Linked DNA regions of Neurospora crassa OR74A. The protein of the gene in region 1 interacts with the protein of each later gene in a pairwise test. Links are inferred from orthologs where the notes say so. Each region holds a gene or a part of one and is shown on either strand. Other genes may lie near its edges. The genes, in order: ck-1a, cpc-3 and NCU01318.

The links.
Region 2: the proteins of ck-1a (region 1) and cpc-3 interact in binary tests that used the Saccharomyces cerevisiae proteins (3 or more experiments, as listed by UniProt). The link is inferred for Neurospora crassa OR74A from reciprocal best matches to the Saccharomyces cerevisiae genes HRR25 and GCN2.
Region 3: the proteins of ck-1a (region 1) and NCU01318 interact in binary tests that used the Saccharomyces cerevisiae proteins (3 or more experiments, as listed by UniProt). The link is inferred for Neurospora crassa OR74A from reciprocal best matches to the Saccharomyces cerevisiae genes HRR25 and SEC23.

The regions. Positions count from the first base shown.
Region 1 is NC_026501.1:7,560,758-7,567,241, forward strand, and holds the start of ck-1a (casein kinase I), read left to right. Parts: upstream 1-2,588; 5' UTR 2,589-2,704; intron 2,705-2,851; 5' UTR 2,852-3,019; intron 3,020-3,634; 5' UTR 3,635-3,680; coding exon 3,681-3,692; intron 3,693-3,783; coding exon 3,784-4,853; coding exon of another isoform or gene 4,854-4,857; exon of another isoform or gene 4,858-4,968; coding exon of another isoform or gene 4,969-4,978; exon of another isoform or gene 4,979-4,981; coding exon 4,982-5,054; 3' UTR 5,055-6,484. UniProt on the Saccharomyces cerevisiae protein: Protein kinase which phosphorylates serine and threonine residues. Can use casein as a substrate. Phosphorylates elongator complex member ELP1/IKI3 on 'Ser-1198' and 'Ser-1202' which promotes the tRNA modification function of the complex.
Region 2 is NC_026505.1:3,170,541-3,177,024, reverse strand, and holds the end of cpc-3 (cpc-3 protein), read right to left. Parts: coding exon 4,873-6,484; intron 4,816-4,872; coding exon 4,480-4,815; intron 4,431-4,479; coding exon 3,431-4,430; intron 3,373-3,430; coding exon 2,132-3,372; 3' UTR 1,988-2,131; downstream 1-1,987. Other genes in the region: NCU01188 (ubiquitin conjugating enzyme), read right to left, coding at 1-5, 142-234. UniProt on the Saccharomyces cerevisiae protein: Metabolic-stress sensing protein kinase that phosphorylates the alpha subunit of eukaryotic translation initiation factor 2 (eIF-2-alpha/SUI2) on 'Ser-52' in response to low amino acid, carbon, or purine availability.
Region 3 is NC_026505.1:3,642,428-3,648,911, forward strand, and holds NCU01318 (protein transporter sec-23), read right to left. Parts: upstream 4,230-6,484; 5' UTR 3,913-4,229; intron 3,753-3,912; 5' UTR 3,550-3,752; coding exon 3,457-3,549; intron 3,391-3,456; coding exon 3,260-3,390; intron 3,204-3,259; coding exon 2,429-3,203; intron 2,367-2,428; coding exon 1,269-2,366; intron 1,205-1,268; coding exon 974-1,204; 3' UTR 803-973; downstream 1-802. Other genes in the region: NCU01317 (60S ribosomal protein L12), read right to left, coding at 66-186, 292-325, 397-400; NCU01319 (hypothetical protein), read left to right, coding at 5,374-5,539, 5,604-5,684, 5,742-6,080, 6,154-6,484. UniProt on the Saccharomyces cerevisiae protein: Component of the coat protein complex II (COPII) which promotes the formation of transport vesicles from the endoplasmic reticulum (ER).

The DNA.
Region 1 (6,484 bases):
TGCCCGTTTCCGTTCCCGTCCGTATACTACCGATTTTAACAGCTTGGAGAGCATGGCAGGCATGGGTAAGGGTCGGTAATGGATTACTGTGTTGCAGTTGGCGGTCAGGGCGGTGTAGCCAAACTGACGAAGCTGGTTCAGGATATTTGGGGGAAAAAAAAAAAAAGAAGAAAAAAAACAGTTCTAGTGTCAATGCCCCTCCAACTGGCATGTCGTCTGATACAAACGCTTTGGTAATCTGGGCATTGCTATGCGCAGGGATCATGGCATGTGTTTGCCGCTTCCAAAGATCGAGCCACGGGAAATCAGTGCCACCCTTGTCTGCCCCTTGGGTCGCGTTTTGGGCAGCAAAGCGGAGGCGAACCACCGGCGGACCTAAGGCTGGCTCCGTTATGCCTCGGGTGCATTCTGTGACTTCGTTGTCGGCCCATGGAAAGGTTTGAGATGAGGTTCTTTTGATAGCTTCTGACAGCCTCAGATAGAGAGTTCCTAAGCTGGTCATGTTTCCAAGGCTGCGAATTATGAAGATGCAGGTAGCGCCGGTTGATTGAACAGGATTTTCTCCGACACCGCCTTGTACGTGTAGTGTAGTTGGAAGATACACGTCGGTAGTATCTGCAAGGCCAGGGGGATTGAAATTCCGGGCACTGTCTTGGAGACGACCAGGTACCCCTAGCACGGCAGACCGAACATGAGCAATGGAAGGATATGTGTAGCCCTTTCCCTGTGAGGACTGAATGCTCTGCCGATTCTGAATGTACCTCTATGTATTCCATCCATTGGCAATTCGAAGAACAAACTATTGAATGATGGACTGAGGGGGTCGGACGGAGGTTGCTGGTTGTCGCAGCGAGGATAGTAGCGAGTGTACTTGCAAGAGCAGTGAGACGCTGACATGGAGGGCTTGGCCTCTCAGCCGCGCCTAACGTCCTCCAGATATACGACACAGTGCGCTCTTTTGAAGAGGTCCACTAGACCCGTGATCTTCGGCAGCGGTTTTTGAGATCTTATATTGACAGTTCTCGGTGTAGCTGTTCTCTGCAGGCTCTGTGGACGGCTTTTGTGTACACTACTGCGCAAGCGCCCGTCAAACAATATGGCTTGTCGTGACCGCTTTGATAGGCTCTCCCGTGGCTGCCGCCAACCACTTGACGTAGGTTCTTTGCATATCTAGCACGGAACTCTTGGGGCCTTGTGAGGAAGCTATGAGAGGAGATGACAGGAAGGGCGCTTTTGTTCGGTATGTTCCAAGCTGTCGGGACGCCAGTCGCAGAGGTTTTGTCCCACGGGGTGGGGAATGTTGATCGCTTTTGCAAACGACTGTCTGTGTGATTATGGTACAGAGCCCTGTCGTACGCAGAATGTACACTACACCGAGCTGTCAATCCCGCCATGGTTGAACGATGCGCCTTGCTTGTGTTTTGGTCCCTTCGTCTGATCTTTTGAAAGAGGGCTCCTGCATTCCGTCTGTCGTATAGTCTCCATAGTGAAACATCACAATGATGCAGTTGTGAACGGGGAAGAAGCGGGACATTGGTCACAGAATGTGTACTGCGTAGTGTTCTAAAGTAGTCAGAGAAGGCACCTGACTTGATCAAAGTGCCGTTCAATTCTCTTCGAAGCTGATATCGGATGGGTTATGGATGTCGTATTTGTCGCAATTGCTGTTGTAACGTATACCAGTCAGATTTAGTATTAATTTTGGGACCGGGAGCCAACCAAGCTAATATGATACAGCACAGACTCTCAATAGTACTGCGTACAGCAAGAGAACGAACTGAAAGCAGGCAGGCACTTTGGCACTGGATTGGCTATTGGGCCCCGTCCAGTTTCTGCCTAACAAAACGCTGAGCCTTCATTCCGACCTCTTCCACATTCACAGGGCGTAATATGGGAGGCGCGGTGTATCATGCCTTCCCTCGTAAATAGAGGTATGTAGAGGTAGAGGTACGGTGCGGTCCTGCCCGCATCATCAAGTATAAGCCTTTCGGTTACCTTACCTTACCGCAGCACGTTTGCCTTGCCCACGCAATGTCCACTGCAGTGCCGCCTGCATCCTATCCTGCCGTCGTAAGGTGTTGCCGGCGTCTTGCCTTGCCTGTTGGGGAACTGCAAATCAGCAGATTTTGTTTGTTTGAAAAGCAAGCCTGCATTCGGAGATCTTTGGATGACAGTTGGACATTGCCAGAGAAAAGGGCGCGCCCAGAAGCCACATGAAACTCCGCCCTCCAATGCCCTGGGCTGGCAGGCCTGGGACGCCTGGCCCTTGCCTGAGGTGGCTCGCTGTCCGACGGTGCAGTGAGAGAGCTCCAGTCATTTTTTGCCATCTCGCTCACCTTGGCACTGTGTCCGGCTTATTGCTTGGCCCGCACTGTGACACTGTGGATGGCGGCGGTGGATCACGGCTCCTCCACTTCCCGTCAGTTCGCCAGCTGGATGCCGCCAAGAACCAAGCCAAAAGAGCGCGCGCTGGCTGGGCCTGGTCGATCTGGCGAGCCTGGCTGGCACTTGGCGTTGCCGTCTCAAATCCTGCCAGTCCCCAGTCCCCCAGGTCGGTCGGCTGTCCAGAAGTCCCAGTCGGTCCCAGTCACCAAACTGCCTCCTCCTCCCTTCTCGCTGTCTCGTTTCCCTCTTCACATCGTCCTTTCCCTCGCCCCCCGTCTCACCACCGACGACCTAAAATTTCCCGGCGGCGACGACGACGGTAAGAGAACCTACCCCAACCACCAAAACAATCTCTTGTTTTTTTTCTTCCCCCGCATGCTGCACCATACATCAACACCAAGCCCGCGTCCATCAGCTTGCCGCTGCACGCTTCGTCTCGACTGCATTTTAACACATACCCGTACAGATTGAGCTGCATTTCATCGCCCCCGACGCTCCAACATCACTTAAGCAGCCTTCTTCGGCACGCACGCCCCTCTCGATTATTCATTGCCATCCTGGTCTCGACGACCCTTGAGCACAGCATTCGGTCTGCGACGACCGTTTACAAAAGGAGAACACATCCCGCCGAAGAGTGAGTTAAAACTTCCATCATCATTTCCGTCAGACGGGTTGTCGTTCCCAGCGAGCGAGGGAGGTTGCTGCACGCATTGTGGTGGTTCCACTCAGCTGCCGCCATGTATCGGTGAGCTGATTGTTGGCCCGTCCGCCAACCAATCTGCCCGCGCTGGCCGCATTTGCCCGCTGTTTGCCCGGATGCACACCGTCGCCATCGGTCACGACACCGACTTGATAGGCTTTTCAATAGCCTCGACACCCTTCTTGGCATGATGGTGGGAATGGCATCACTACAATGCTCCCCAAGGATGGCAGCGTCGCCCAGGCCATCGTTGAACACGTCCGTGTCGACATAGCCCTGATGGACAGTGTTGTCACGCCGTCCAGACGCTCCGTCTTCCAGGGCGATGCACGATGTGGATGTGTTTGCAGAGGTTTCTGGAAATGTTGCCGTCACCATTGACACATGGGCCACTTCATGGAGCAGTCGAACAACCTATTGTGACCGAGCCGGGCAAGGACTCCCACCCGAACACCTGGGACGACACTGGCCTTTCTCGACAGCTCAGCGTTCGACATCGTTGCGTATGCGTACCTTGATGGCCCTTTTACTGACATCTATCGGCTATAGTTACTGATCTTCTGGGATTCGTCTTTCTCCCCTATTAACCGCAAACATGACTACCATGGTACGCTTATCCGTCAATTCCGAATCACCACGGCCTCCTAGGCCTTTGGTTGCCAACGTCAAAGGTTGCATCCTGCTAACTGGAAGGCTAGGATCTCCGCGTCGGTAACAAGTACCGGATCGGTCGCAAGATCGGCTCTGGTTCTTTCGGTGACATTTACCTCGGCACCAACATCATCTCCGGTGAAGAGATTGCCATCAAGCTGGAGAGCGTGAAGGCCAAACACCCTCAACTAGAGTACGAGGCCCGCGTTTACAAGTCTCTCGCCGGTGGCGTTGGTATCCCCTTTGTCCGCTGGTTCGGCACTGAGTGTGACTACAACGCCATGGTCCTCGACCTTCTTGGCCCCAGCTTGGAGGATCTGTTCAACTTCTGCAACCGCAAGTTCTCTCTGAAGACTGTCTTGCTGCTTGCTGATCAGCTCATCTCCCGCATCGAGTACATCCATGCCAAGTCGTTCATCCACCGCGACATCAAGCCTGACAACTTCCTTATGGGGATTGGCAAGCGTGGCAACCAGGTCAACGTGATCGATTTTGGTCTTGCCAAGAAGTACAGAGATCCCAAGACTCACTTCCACATTCCTTACAGAGAGAATAAGAACCTTACTGGCACTGCCCGTTATGCCTCCATCAACACGCATCTCGGCGTCGAGCAGTCTCGCCGTGACGACATGGAGTCCCTTGGCTACGTCATGCTTTACTTTTGCCGCGGCTCCCTCCCGTGGCAGGGCCTTAAGGCTGCCACCAAGAAGCAGAAGTACGACCGCATCATGGAGAAGAAGATGACCACTCCTACCGAGGTTCTTTGCCGCGGCTTCCCCAACGAGTTTGCCATCTACCTCAACTACACTCGTTCCCTCCGCTTCGATGACAAGCCTGATTACAGCTATCTCCGCAAGATCTTCCGTGACTTGTTCGTCCGCGAAGGTTTCCAGTATGACTACGTCTTTGACTGGACCGTCTACAAGTACCAGAAGAACGCCCAGGCTATCCAGCAGGCTGCTGGCAACTCCAGCCAGCCCCAGCCTGCGGACTCCAAGGAGGCGGCCCAGGCTGCTGCTCGTAAGGACCCTCAGCAGGCCCTGAGGAGCGGATCCAGGAAGCCCATGACCGGCGAGACACCTGAGACCAGCCGTGCCGTCGGTGGCAGCGACAGGATGTGAGTTTGCCAGCCTAGCCCAGCATTCCTAGTAAGGAATCTTGTTTCCTTCGAGTTTGGTGTACTCAATAACGCTGGCCGGAGGTAGAATGCTGACATGATGGCTGACGTTCAGTTTGCGATAATAGGCTGCGCTCGGCTGCTAAAGGTCAAGGCGCTGGCTCCGGACATGTGGCCGGCAGGTATCGTCCTATGGAATGAGACTGCGGTTGCTCGCACATGGTATCTACTTGGAACAAGATCTTCGGCGGGTTGTTGGAGTAGCAGATTGCGCATTGGTCAAATGGTTTGATTCCTGCACCCGCCTTTCGTCATCCAACGTCCCTCGAGCGTCTGGATGGAGTGGAAGCGGATGGCTGTACCTGGCCAGCACCATCGACCGATGCATCTCCTCTACACAGCCAGACGGATTACTTGCGACAGATTGCTTCTCTTCGTTCTTCGGCATCTCTATCAGTTACTGCCCTTATTCATGGCTCGGACGGATCTTCGGTTTATGGCGGCAGTGCAGTTCGACTCTTGGTCGAATCTGTCTTGCTCCTATTTGACCGCAGACCTTACGAACGGCATGCCCAGTATCCCGGATTCCTGGGGTGCTGAAGTTGGAGACCTTGGCCTTTCCATGGGCCGAGGTTTAAAATGCCGTCGGAATTGCAGCAGCGGTCATGAGATACGGCTTGATCAAGACGGGCCATTTATGGCAAAAGTCTCGTTCGAGTCATGTCGTTGCGAGATAACAATAAGCATCTTCCCAGTCGGCATCCCGTTTCCCATTGTTTTGTTTTCGTTTACTATCATGCACGATTTCCTTTTGGTGTGTCATTTCTCTCGCATCGGGTCTCGCTTGTGGGGAGGCATTAGGGGACGAAGCGTTGCACCTTTTTGCGAAAGTCATATACATCAATTGTTGGTCAGTTGGTATTAGCTTGGAATCATGTAGCAGAGTTCAGGTCACGGGGTGGTTATTGGTCTATGGCGCCTATGTGCCAAAGTTTCCGTCCAGACGATGGAGATTTCGTGAATGCGGCCACTGCTCAGTGACACGGCGAGGTCCTAAGTTCGATCGGCTGGAGGTTCTGGGTTGGACAAGCAGAGATAGCCTCTTAGCTCATGCTCGAAGATTCCTGGACGCATCTGCTGGCGCGGTGGCTTTCCATATCGACACGATGGTTACGCGTTCACGACCTCGTACCCAAATCGAAATATCAGGAGCACCGCATATAGAGAAGGGCACCTTTCAGCCGCCTGCTTTTGTGGGAGAGCTTTGACCTTGGGATATTTCGGGGACTTGGCTGACATCATGGAGACAAGACGGATATGACTGGTATACACCACGTGGAAAGAGCTCGGGCAACATGAAATTCAAGCTAGTTCTCCTAATACACGTCTCATATCTTAGCCCAATTGGACCGTTGCCGAAGTTGTGTCTGCGTGCATATAGCTTCCATGAGCAAGATAAACGTGCTGTTCTGCAGTTACCTAATTCTCTTGTCTGTCCAAATGGGGTTATTGATTACATGTGCTGGTGAAGCCACCGACGGCTCAGCCTTGATTACCAGCGTACGGGCTGGCCGAATTGACCCTAAGACAAGCAAAACAGCGGTGTCTGAAAGAGGCTGTAATGTCTACGT
Region 2 (6,484 bases), on another chromosome or scaffold:
TCGTCCTGTTTGCGCCAAAGAAGTGAGGGTCAGTCTAGGTTCCGTAGTGAAGGTATAGTGATACTAGAATCGACGTGCCGGTACTGCGCCCGCGAACGACAGACCGGCAAAGGAGAAAAAACGAACGGTACTAGGACGTACATCTTCAAAGTGAATCCACTTCTCCTTTCGTAGCGCCTTCATCTCACTCATCAGGCGCGTTGTAGCGCCCGACGCTGTTGTCCTGTACGACATGGCAAAATGTGGTTACGGAAGTGAAGGCGAGGTGCCGGTGGCGGAGGTTGACAAAAGAAAGAATGGGCTGCCGCTGGAAAAGCCCACTTTACTTCGTTGGTGGTGGCGGTGGTGGTGAAGTAGATATGTTGTGGTGGCTCGTCAAGGGATCGACACGTAAAGTGCTGACGAAGATCCCTCTCGTGCGCAAGATCGGGGGCCTCGAGAGGAAAATGGTGGTATTTGTAGTTTGAGGGGATGTTGGCAAGAGGCGGGCGGGTGTTTGGGGAAGATTGTTAGACGGTCGGTGGTGAAGGCCGGGGTGGGTATTGATCTTTTGAAGAGGGATGGAATGATAACGATAACCAAACAATGGGAACAGACTCTATGGAAGCACGGACGGTCGGGATAGAAGTTCACGGTTTGTCACGATGGTGGTCTTTGGGAAGTGGGTTGGAAATCAAGGGCTGGGCGGTGACAATCTGGAACAATAGAGAGGTTGCGAGTCAGGAGAAAGCAGGGTCAGACGGGAGGAAAAGTGGAAGGGCGTACGAACGTCACAACCGGATCAGGAAAAGGTGTGTGAACTACACTACTACGATGTGAGCGATGGAATCATGGCAGGGTCACGCTTCCCTTGGGTTCCTCGGAGCGAGGACCCGGATAGAAGGTTGGGCAGTCTCTAGCACGCACTCTCAACTTAACCTAAGTCTACACGAAGCAACCGACCCAGACCATTTGTGATGGTCCCGTCATTGCCCAACTTCCTTCTCCCATGGTGGTGCAGCAGCCGAGCTGAGCGAGGCACTGAGGAATCCTAACAACTGCATGTCTCGCCTTACGTTTGTTAATGGTGGTCAACACCGCTGCACAATGGCGGTCTCGGGCTCTCGGCATAGGTACCTACCTCTACATAAGACCAATACACCTGACAGGAGTATCGTCAAAGGAGGGAGGCCGTAATCCCCGCCCTTCCATATTATCGTATTGTAATTGCCCGTCAACCTTTACAAAGCAGGCGGAACCTCCCAGAACGGCCTTTTTTTTTTTTTTTTTCTCTGGCAAAGGGGGGGCCCATCAGACAATCATGTACAATCTACCCGCAAGGAGACGGGACGACACGACGGTGCAGTTCCTTTGCCACTGACAAATGAGCATCCCATGGTGATAGGGCATATTGGTGGTGGTCAGAATTGCAGTTATCGGATGTTTCAGAGGATGCACTAACAATTTCCCAAGTACACTAGATCCCGTCACGGTCCACTGAAGCTACAAAGAAGTGACGCAGTTCCATGTTGTCCTGTTGACTGCCCAGACAACAAATGATCGATGCCTTAAATCGAATCCACATTCGCATCTGTTTCCAAGCATCATATACCCGTCATTCACAACACTTTGCTGTAAATAAGAGTAGGTACAGGTAACGTGTTGCCCAACATGAGGGAAGAAGATGGATCGATTCGTTTGCATACTGGCAGCGGTTCCCATTTTCTCGTAAACCATGGATGGGAAACGTCCGTGCCAGGCAGTTAGAAGATCCGGTGGGTAACAGTAGGCAAGGACCTTGATGGTCAGTTCCTCCGCAATCGGTCTTCTTCCTGGCTTCTTGTGTGCGAACGAACTTCTTGTTGGCCAGCAGGGTGATCTTCCCGTAGTGAGATGGTTGGGCGTTTCACTTGTGACAGAAGGGTTAGGGTTCTGTATAGGAGGCTGACTCAGGTTGAGTTGGTGTTTCAGGGGATCACCATAGACGAAAAGCAAGAGGAACATCGGACGATTTGAAAGAGCAGTGATGCCTTCGGGTGGGATTACTAGCCTTACAACTGTATACCTATTATACACACATCCAACCCACCATCGCCAACGTATCCTACCCAGCTAGGCACCTCCCCAGGGCTTCAATACCCTGCCGACCCGATCAAGCCGACAAGTCGTAATAGATGCACCTCCCCGTCCTGAAATTATACACAAACGCGTGCTCCGATCCCTTCTTGGCCTCCCACTCCCACCTCCACCCCTTCAACATATCGTGAATCTCCTTGACATATTTCTTCTCGCTCGTGCCCACATTGTGTTCCACCCTGCGCCAGCTCTCCGCATCGCTCAGGCTCGTCCGCCGTATCATATCCATCACGCTATCCGAAGTCTCGATTGCGGCAATCGGCCCGTCCAGAAAGCTCTGCAACAGCTTCGCCGCACTCATCTGCGCCTGCTCCACCACCTGCCGGCGGTTGAACTTCTTGCTCTTTGTCTGCGCCACGAGCACGTGCACCTCCTGCTCGCGCTCGCCGTCCGCACCTAGGAACAACCCGCTGTTCAACTCCGAGTTGTTCGTGCCAAAGGACGAGAGACCGCCTCCGCCACCGCTGCCGCCGCCGCCGCGGAACTTGATGGCCGCTCCCGAAGATATACTGCCGCTGCCCGTGCCCCGCATGAGAGCGTCCCTATTCTCGCGCATCTCGGCCTTCAGCCAGTTGAGCAGCTCCTTGGCGGGGATATCGGCGTCGGGCGCGTCCTTGCGGGCCATGCTCTTGATCTTGAGCATGTTGTCCTGCTTGATGATGACGACCCACAAGTACGACTCGTCGCGGTACTTGGAGAGCAGGTCTTCGGGCGAGCGGGCGTCACGGGCCAGCTCGGCCGAGATGGAGTGCGCCCAAAGCGTCTGGACGAGCTCAATACCAGAGGAGCGGAGGACTTCCGGGTCGAAGGAAGCGACAAGGACGTCGCAGCGTTTGATGTTGAAGAGGCCTTGACTCTCTTCTTCGGCCGCCTTCTTGAGGAATGTTTTGCCGGTGGCCTTCGGGACGGGCTTGGCGAGCTGCTTCTCCCAGTTCAAGCTGAAGCCGACCGCATGGCGCTCTTCAAACCGGTTGCCGATCTTGGGACGATGTTCCTTAATCAAGCTGTCGTAGCGGCCACCGGCGGCGAAGACATCCTTGACCTTTTTGTCGTACAGGCAAGAAAAGAGGATGCCACCGCGGAAGAAGGCTTCGTTGATGCTGCTTAAAGGGGCAATGTAGATTTTGTTTTGTACTCCGAACCGCTTGGTATATTCGTACACTTCTTTGAGATGGGCCAATGTTGATGAAGCCTGTTGGTAGTATTCCGTTCCTTCGAAAAGAAGCTTGATCTTCGCGATGGCCTTGCTCGGGGTATCTAAAACAAGTGGTTAGTTGATGGCGTAAGTATGTTCGTGGTGTAAAGTCACACTTACCTCTGAAGTCAAATCTCTGCAGCTCGTCTACGCTGGTTGCCGATATACCCACCATGGGTGATCTAAGCTCTCCACGCACCTTTTGCCAAGTGAAATTGCGAATGTTGAGCTTACTGAGGACCTCAGCAGCAGCCCTGCGTGTGCCCACTTCCACGCCGCAGTACTCAAAGATAAGATTCAAGAGGTCCGAATGCCCCAGCTGGAAGCAGATGGGAGTAGACGACACAGTAGGGAACGCAGTCGCAATCTCATCCAGAACTTTGATGACCTCGGCCTCTTTCAAGGCAAGGTCTAAGGCGTCTGAAGTGACAATGTCAAAGTCGACTTCTCCGTACACATCAGGCTGACCACCGCCGTGACGATCACGGAATATGTTGCCAAAGGAGTATGACTTCTGAACAACGGGGCTGTTCGTGATCCTTGCGAGAGAGCGAGCATGGCCCATCATGAGATCGAAGGGCAACTGAAGAACCGTACCATTCTGGTCGAGGAGATGGACCGCGTTTTGGCCATAATGCGAAGAGCTGGGATACAGACAGACCGTAGGAGCCTCAACCGCACCGTGTCGCCGGAAGATGGATATCAAGGTGTCCTTGACGATGAACTGTCGCATGAGTTCTTGGGGTGATGGCCCAGATGAAGACATGTCCCAAGCGTAATCCTTTGCTTGTTCGATTGGCCTGGAGAATAAAGTTTCGAGCATCTTTTGGTAGTAAGGTGAGTTGGGATCCGACAATCCAGCAATCGCACGCCGTATCGCCTCGCTTTCCATCTGAATCGGAAGCTTGCCACTCTTCATAAGCTCTGAGCTCGAAGGGCGCTCTTTAGGGTTGTGAGTCAGCAGTGACAACAGGACCTCGAGATGGTTTTTATCCATATGTTTGAAGTCAGCGGGCAAAATGGGAGGGGATTGGCGCAGCTGCTCAAGGACCATGGCGCGCTGCATTCCAAGCATGGGAGGGTACGACATCTCGAAGAAAATCACGCCCAAGGAATACATCTAGGGATGATGTCAGTCTAGTCTTGCAAGGAGGATGGGAAAAACCTACATCCACCTTTGATGTATAAGAGCCGCTGCCACCCGTCCGGACCTCAGGGGCGACATAAACTGCTGTGCCAATGCTCCTGGTCATGTCGCTTGCATCCAAGCTTGCTGTTGACCTGTCTATCGCCAACTGTCCGCTAGTGGCCAGCCCAAAATCGCCGATCTTTACATTATCCAGGCCGTCAGGTCCAGAAGAGATGAAGATATTCTCGGGCTTGAGGTCACGGTGAACGATGTTGAGGCTGTGAATGTGGCAGAGCCCTTCTAGAATTTGGCGGAATAAGCGCCAGATCTCAGCTGTTTCCTTAGACAGATTCCGAGAAATCAAGTCGCGCAGTGTCTATAGAACTGTCAGTGTTGCCATTCGGATTTTGGTTTTGGCATAATGGGAACCTACCCGCTTCTCGCAATACTCCATGGAAATATACATCACGGTCTTGTATGGGCGAGCACTTCCCCGTCGAGGACGCCGTCCTGTGACACCAAGGTGGTTCTTGCCGCTTACAGTGGCAGCATCGTCATTTGAGTCATTGTCGGATTCATCCTCTTCATCGTCTTCATCTTCGTCGTCATCCTCTTCTTCACTCGAGCTGTAGTCGTACTCAATGCCCGGGTGCCCACTGGAGGACATGAAATCTAGACCTCTGCTTTTGCTCTCGGCAAATTCAATATTTATGCCGTGGGATATCGTGACCTGAGAGTTGTCTGTAACGTCTGTAGCGCCGCCTTCGGTTGAAGTATCGCCTTCTGTGTCCGCGTAGTCCGGCACCTCCTCCAGCCATGTATTGTAGTATCTGACAACAGCCGGATGGTTCATCTGGGAAAGCAGTCGGACTTCCTTTAGGATCTCTGAAAGTGTCTCTTGAGACCTTTGTGTGATTTTTTTGATGGCGTATAGGTGTCCGTCAATCATCTTGCGGGCTCGGACAACCTCTCCGAACCCTCCTTTTCCAAGACGAGCCTCTTCCACATAGTCCTGTCGGTATCTGGAAGACATGGGTCCGCGACTCATCGAGTCGTGCCTCATCCTCTGCGGGGTCATTTGCGGCATGGGCATCAGGGAACCCGGCACAGCAATGTCCTCGTCATCGATAATGGGCGCATTGGTAGCAAGGAATTCGCTTGAGCTCAACTCAAAAGCCCGCGGCCGCTTCTTGGGGTCGGACTTGAAGAACTTGGAGACCAGTTCTTCCAGCGGAGCCGACAAGGAAAGAGAATCCATCAGTGCGGAAGGCGAATGATACTTTTCGACAACATCCAAACCGAAGATCATCTGAAGAAAGACGATGCCAAAGTCCCAGACATCGGTCTTTTGAGTGTATTGAGGCTTCGTTACACCTGCAATTTCGGGCGGAAACCAGTATGCGGATTTGGCGGCTTTTGAGGATGTCAGCGTCTTTATCTTTGTACAGAGGTTGTGAAGCTCCCTCTGATAAAAAGAATCAGTGATTTTAGGCACTATATCCCCCGCCTCGTTTCTGTAGAGGAGAATGTTGGCTGGGTGAAGGTCTTGATGAATGATTCCGTTGTTGTGTAGGAATGCAAGTGCTTCCAGAAGGTCGGCCGTCCATATCTTTGCCTTGTTGGTGTCAATATGGCCCGCTAGATCGAGAAGCTCTTCAATGGGCCCCTTGGTGGCGAGGGGCGTCAGAATGCTGACGGTCCAGATGGTCGGCGCAGAAGAATCGGTGTCGCTGATGCCTCGATCGATCCTGAAGTCAAGGAAGGGAAGCAGATTCTGATGGCGAAGCTTTTTCAGTGTTTCCATCTGCGACTCTAGATACTGCAGCTGCTTCTTGAACTGAGCCGAATCCTTTCCGTGTGACTTGACTTCTACTTGCTTCAAGGCTAGGCTAGGGCGCACTGTTCTGGCGGACAGGACTGGTTTGACCTTGTAGACGGTGGTGATGGGACCTTCGCGAAAGACAGTTTTGCCAATGACGGTTTGGAAGAACAAGGCATTACCAGAGCCATCAGTGATCTTGCAGGGCTGATCAAACATGAGCGTC
Region 3 (6,484 bases), on another chromosome or scaffold:
TTCCCCCTTCGTTTCGCTCATGGCGTCGTTCATGTAAAGTCGGATAGAGAGCCAGAATTTCGTACCCAGTCACCAGTAGCCTTGGCGATATCTTCGCCGACCTTCTTGGGGGAGAGACCAAGAGGACCGATCTTGGGGGCAAGAGCCGACGAGGCACCAACCTCACCACCGGTGGCCCGGAGGGTGCTGCACACAGAAACCGCCCGTCAGTATGTTTATAATTCGCATTCGTCGCGCGTATCGTGTCGCATCGAGTCGCCTCGAGCGACGGATCGTCGGGTGTGTTCTTACATAACCTTCACCTCATTAGGATCAAACTTGGGAGCTGCAAATTGGGCATATTGTCAGTTTTGAGTACTCGGTCGATGACAGGCAAATAGTAGGGCCATAACTTACGCATGGTGACGGCTGGTGATTGTCAAGATGCACTTGGATGGTGTTCGTGGGAAGGAGGAGACCGTACCGAGGATCCAAGACAACAACGAAATCGAAAAAATCCCAATTGTGGGATCTGGACCTGCCTGCCCTAAGATTTTGGCAGTGTGTGGCTGGTGCTTTTGGCGGGGCACTAGCCACAAAATAACCGCTTTCAGCCACAACTCAATCTAGCCCGGTTCATGGTCCGTTACTTAGCGCTGTGCTGCAACCGCTACGTTCGCCTGCCAACACCTGCCAAACTAGGCAAAACAAACCCCCTGAGTCTGATGAAGACAGAAGGCCAAGGCCTCCAGTCTGCCGCCCAGAGGATCACAACGACATCCCATCAGTGGCAAAACTCCAAATGGACCTGGAGATCATCAAACACAGCACACTGGATTTATATTAATGATGTGATCTATTTGTGTGCTCGTATAAGTCCACATAAAACTAACGCTAGACAATTCCAAAAAGGTCGTCCGCCGTTTCCGGGGCTTGCATTTAACTTCATCACTCACTTCCAGCCTCTCACTCGGCCTGTCCACTGCCCTCACATTTAGTTGGTTCCACTCACGGCAAGCTTCATGAGATGCTCCATGAAGGTCTGGAGAGAAACATCGTCGGTGAAGATAGTCTGGGCGCTCTGAGCTCCAACACCGCCATAGGCGCCAGCACCTGATGTATGGGTAGTGGAAGGGTTAAGCTTAGAAAGCAGGAAACGAGCTTGGGAACCGCCCTGGTCGCAAACAATGAAACGAGGGAGAGGGAAACGGTCGGTAATAAGATCCTGTACACGGTCAGAAAAAAAGCCCCAACATAATTCGATCAGAGATGAACAGGAGACAACTTACCCTTGCATCTTCCTTGGGCTGCTCCAAAAGCGCAGCAAAGTTCTCGTATCCCTCTTGGTCTTGGTAGCCGGCCTTTCTCCATTCCGCAATCGTCTCACCATGGAAGATCAGAATGTGGAAGAAGGTATCGAGCAGGAGGATGTGGGTAGGCTGAATGGAGGTAGAGTCGAGCAGAACGGGGACACCGCCTTCTTGGTCGAAGGTGTAGGAGTCGAGCGTTGGTTGAATCATGATGAGCGAGTTACTAACATCCTCATGGTTGAGAACGTGCCGATAGAATGCGGTCTCATCGGGAGAGTTGTTAAAGACTTGCAAGAACTGACTCCTACGCAAGTGGAACATGAACTGTGGGTACAGCGTGAAGTTCTTTTCCAAGCGGAACGATGACGGGTCGTCCTTGCGGTAATCGGCAAATCTGGCGCAGAGCCTGATGAGCATGCGGTCAACCCACCGGAGCACATCAGGCCCATCGTCAACCTCCGCCTTGAAAACAGCGATACGCGACATAAGCACGGCTGCTGCCTCCTGGTCAAATGACTGCGCGATGGCCGGGTCTCCGGCGGGGCCGCTGAGGTTTCGGGCAATGGTGGTCACCCGAAGGTGGAAGTGGCCAGACGAGTGCTGGTAATAAGTCAAGAACTGCATCATTCCCTTTTGGGGACTCTGCATGTTCTGGGACGGGCCGCCTTGGTTGGCGATTTCGAAGTAGATACCGTAGCTGGAGCTGGGGTCGATACCGCACATCTTCCACGTGCAAGTGTTACCTATGCCGCACTCGGTTTCGCCGACGGACGTCGATTTTTTGTTGAGAGAGACTGCATGACCAATCAACCCAGTAACCTTGAGTTCCTTCGTTGTAAGTACTTCCAAAACCGCATTGAAGCCCATGAGCAGATTGTCATCCGCGTCCTTTTCGAAAATGCGGACGAATGACTGCTTGAACATGGATGAGGTGAAGCTGTCCGTCAGAATCATGTGGCCACCCGTCGAGTTGCACAGACCCTTCATTTCAAGTAGACCAACTTGATCAAGACAGCCGGCAAAAATGTCAATAGTGTGGCCGTTGTGCGCCGTTCGCTTAGCGAGGTTGTCGTAGAACTATAATAAATGTTAGCATGACACAGACTGTTTCCTGCACCACAACTTGAAGATGAACGTACCTTGAGTGCCTTCTTGTAATACTTGATGTTGTCACGGTCGATATCGTGATGGGAGCGGATCGGTTCCCTCAGCTCGGGGCCAACAACCATGCCAGGTCCCTCAGTGGCCGGACCACCAGCAAAGAGCATAATGCGACCACCGGCATTCTGGAACGACGTTTCGAGCAGGCCAACAGCTACGGACAACGCAACACCGGTGCAGCGCAAGGCTCTGAGGTTACCGGCAACAGGCCAGGGATCCTTCTGAAGCTGCTCAATGGCCTTGGTCAACTGGAACTCGGCCTGAGAGACCGGAAGCAAGAATCTTGAGGCAGGGCCGGCCGGGAAGGGCCTGCCAGGCTGTTGCATAGGCATGCCCGGACGCATGGCAGGTTGTACGAGCCCAAGCATCTCCTGGACCTGCTTGGCCGCGTACTCCTTGTTACCGCGGAAAACATATGATTTAGGGCACTCGGTATAGCCAATCTCGTGGACCTGGGCCATGGTGCCGTATGTAATCAGGCCGACAAGGGCGTGCTCGGGCAATAGGCTCAAGCTCATGATGAGCGACTCCTTGAGAGCAGCCAAGCTGTCCTCCTCCTGGCACGTATCGACGACATAGAGGAAGATCGGAGGGGCGGGGGCGGGCCGCGAGAGCCTGTACTCGATGGTAGTGTTGGAAGGGTGCAGCTCGGGTGGAATCGCATTTGCGGTGATGTCCTTGTAGTGTGGCGGGAGAGGATTCCTCGAGAGACAGAAGGGGCAGATCCACAGGCGGGCGCGCACATCGACTTGACTGGGCGAGGGTATCAGCAATGGGCGCGACAAGTCGGGGCGACGAAGATGGCTCACCAGTAGGGGTTTAACACGGAGCGGCAGGGCTGCTTGCAACTGACGGGGTCGAACTGCAGCAGAGGCGTGTCGGGCTTCTCCTTGAGAGGGGTATAAAGGGCGCCGATGGGGACGACGAGTCTCGAAGCTTCCTGAAGAAAGGGTCAGCGATAAAGGGGTGACGCGAAGTAGCAAGTATGCGAAAGAGCGGAACTGACCATGCGGGTGCTGGGGAAGACATTCCAGCTCAGACGAACGCCATCACGGTCCTCGACCTCGCCCCATTGCTCCTTGAGGGCTTCGTAATCCATGTTGATGTCGGCGGCGGCGTCCTCGGTCGATGGTCGCAGTCGGGGATAGAGAGGAACAGCTGGAGAGGGGTGATGGTGGTGTCGGCGGTTTGTTGGATTAGAAGATTAAGGGAATTAATGTGGATGATCCGTCGTCTACGCGGTGGTAGCTCCAGAGATAGGTACGGGGCGGGCGGCGGGCAACGGGCAACGTCGTCGGGCGGCTACGTGCAAGGTGTCATTAGCTCCGAGACCTGGAACGCACGAGACACTCGAGACATCCACCGTCCACCACACAGTCCACAGCAGCTGTCTTGCGGCAGGCGGGACCTGAGGCTAGATGTGGAAGCTAGGGGGAAAAGCGGGCTCCGTGCGAGTACATACCGCGGGGGGAGGCAATAAGGTATGGACGGGATCCCAGTTGTGGTGTGTCGCCAGGAAGATGCAACAACTGAACTGAAGAACCTCTTTTTCGACGCTCCTGAAAATTCAAGGTCCACTTTAAAGTGTTGACTGTCGTCCAGGAAGCCCTGCGCAAGATCACAGAGTTAACGACGCGCTGCTCTTCTGCAATCGGTCAAGTCGTTTGCGACAAGGTGATGGGATCAAAATGTTCAGAAATACCCCAATCGCTTCTACTGCAATGGAAGCCGACTGCAACAGGCGATAGTATCAATTTCTGATTTGCGGCTCTGTTGTCATTTGCTCCCCTCCAGTTGTTGAAAAGGACAGGTACCTCGTTCCCCTCCATCGAAAGGCAGGGGGCAGCTCTGCTGACAGACGACGGGAGGCTGCTTGCCAGCTGGTGCGTAGCCGACGAGCTGACGCCAATCACCACTTACCTCACCGTGCCACCGCGGCCGCCGTGGTAAACTGCATCTCCAAGCTGCAAGTTGCAACCTTTGTTCCGTCAGCACGAAATTGTCGGATGTACCAAGTGTTTTCCCGGTGCAGTGATGTTCCCGCGGCGTCGGATCATGAATGAAAAACAACATTGGCGAATCGCGACATCTCGACATGGAAATTGAATAGGTACCTATTCAGCATCGTATGCTTGCCCTCACCATCGACGCCTCGGGAGACGTCAAGCTTTGATTCCGTTACCCTTGGGCTCCAGTCATGATTCCGACCTGTGGCCGGCTGGCCGTTGAGTTTTGGCTAGCTCTGATTAGCCTGCTCGCATCTCTGTCCTAATGCTCGGTCTTGTGTCGATCCTACCACTCATGCCAGCATTTGGTGTTCTTCAAGAACCGTACCCTGCTCGCCCCATCCTGTTTCAGCCCACTGTGTCGAGCACGACCAAAATACCTTTTTGTGTTACCGTCGGGTTATCCTGAAGAATCCGCCTGTCGCGGGGGAACTCAATCAAACAACTCGCTCGCTCGCAGGCTCAGTCAGTCAAGCCAGCAGATGGTAAACTCGCGGCTGTGCTGCATCGCACAAACGCCCGCTCTCCGGTGATCACCCTCTCTGTTCTGAGCAGGCTCACTTTTACTTGTTACTCGACGAGTAGGGATCAGCCTTATCTCCTACTGTAGTGCTGACTTGATGCAACCCTTGGGTACGCTAAGATACGAAAGGGGCCGAGCAGCCGCCAGGTAGCAGTCAACAGGCACCATTGACAGTCCACGGTGATATTACCGTGGCTCACCTCTCCCGACCTCGTTTATAATTACAGTCGGATCCTATAGGATCATCACCTACCACCATGTCTCGATGGCGCTTCAGGGGAGCTAGCCCTTTTCGTGGGTAGAAAGCTGACACGCGTAGCATTTTGCTCAGAAATTTCTTCCTCCTCTCCCATTCTTCTCTTCTCTCTCTTGTTGCCCTCTGAAATCAGTCATCATGGTCAGGAGGTCGACTTCCCTTCTGTGCTGTGTAATACAGCCGTGGATTTGCCAGGCGGGTAGCACTATCACCCTACCCAAGGCAGATGAATCAATCATCCTTCCACGACAGGTTAACGGTGCTATCAGTCCCTCGACATTTCTGCGCAGAGGCTATCAATCGTGTGAGCATTGCCGTCATTGTCTTTTTCTCAGTGCATCATGACCATCTGGCTAATCGAACCAAAGCCGCGGTTTTAAACGGGCGCGTGTACATTGACGGCGGTGAGGTCTCGTACTACAGCGGTACTGACATCACCTTTCAATACTGTAAGACTCTCCACGCATTAACTCTTGAAACTATGGAATATCCTAACTCTTCCGTAGCGAACTCCCTGCTTTCTATCGATTTGTCCCAGGACTGGACAAGTGATTCAGTTCGGTTCGACTCAACATCCAAACCGCCCGGTGCCGCCAACCTCGCTGGCGGAGGGCTTTGGGTAGATGAGACGGATGGTGTCTTATACACGGGATTCGCCGGCACCAAGTCTAATTTTGGAGATAACGCCGATCAGCCTCAAGGCCTATGGTCATTCAAACCAGATGGCACAGGAGGCGGAACCTGGCAAAACCTGAACAACACTGCAGACAAGACGTTTACGGAACAGCCGAGACCATACAAAGGCAAAACAGCCAGTGGCAATGGTTTTGGCTACTTCCTCGGAGGTACGCAAGCTTACTATCAGCGGCCTTGGAGACTTCTTTGTAGGAGATCCGTGAAGCTGACCTCGATCAACAGGCTATGAGAGGTTCGGTACCAATGCGTCGGATCTCACCGAGGCACCGATGAGCAGCCTTCTTACGTACGACTTTGCATCGAAGAAGGTCACCAACGAAACCGTTAACCTTGCTTCCACACAGGGGTCGGAGCAATTTGGAAGCATGCTTTACGTTCCCAACTTTGGCAAAAAGGGCATCCTCGTTTCCGTGGGAGGTCTCATCGCGAAATTGAAGACAGACAACGACGACGACAAGCGCGTTTCCCTGGGCACAGCACGCATCTTCGACATTGACAGCAGAGCTTGGTTCGAACAAAGCACATCAGGCACTCCCCCCGCACCAAGGCAGGA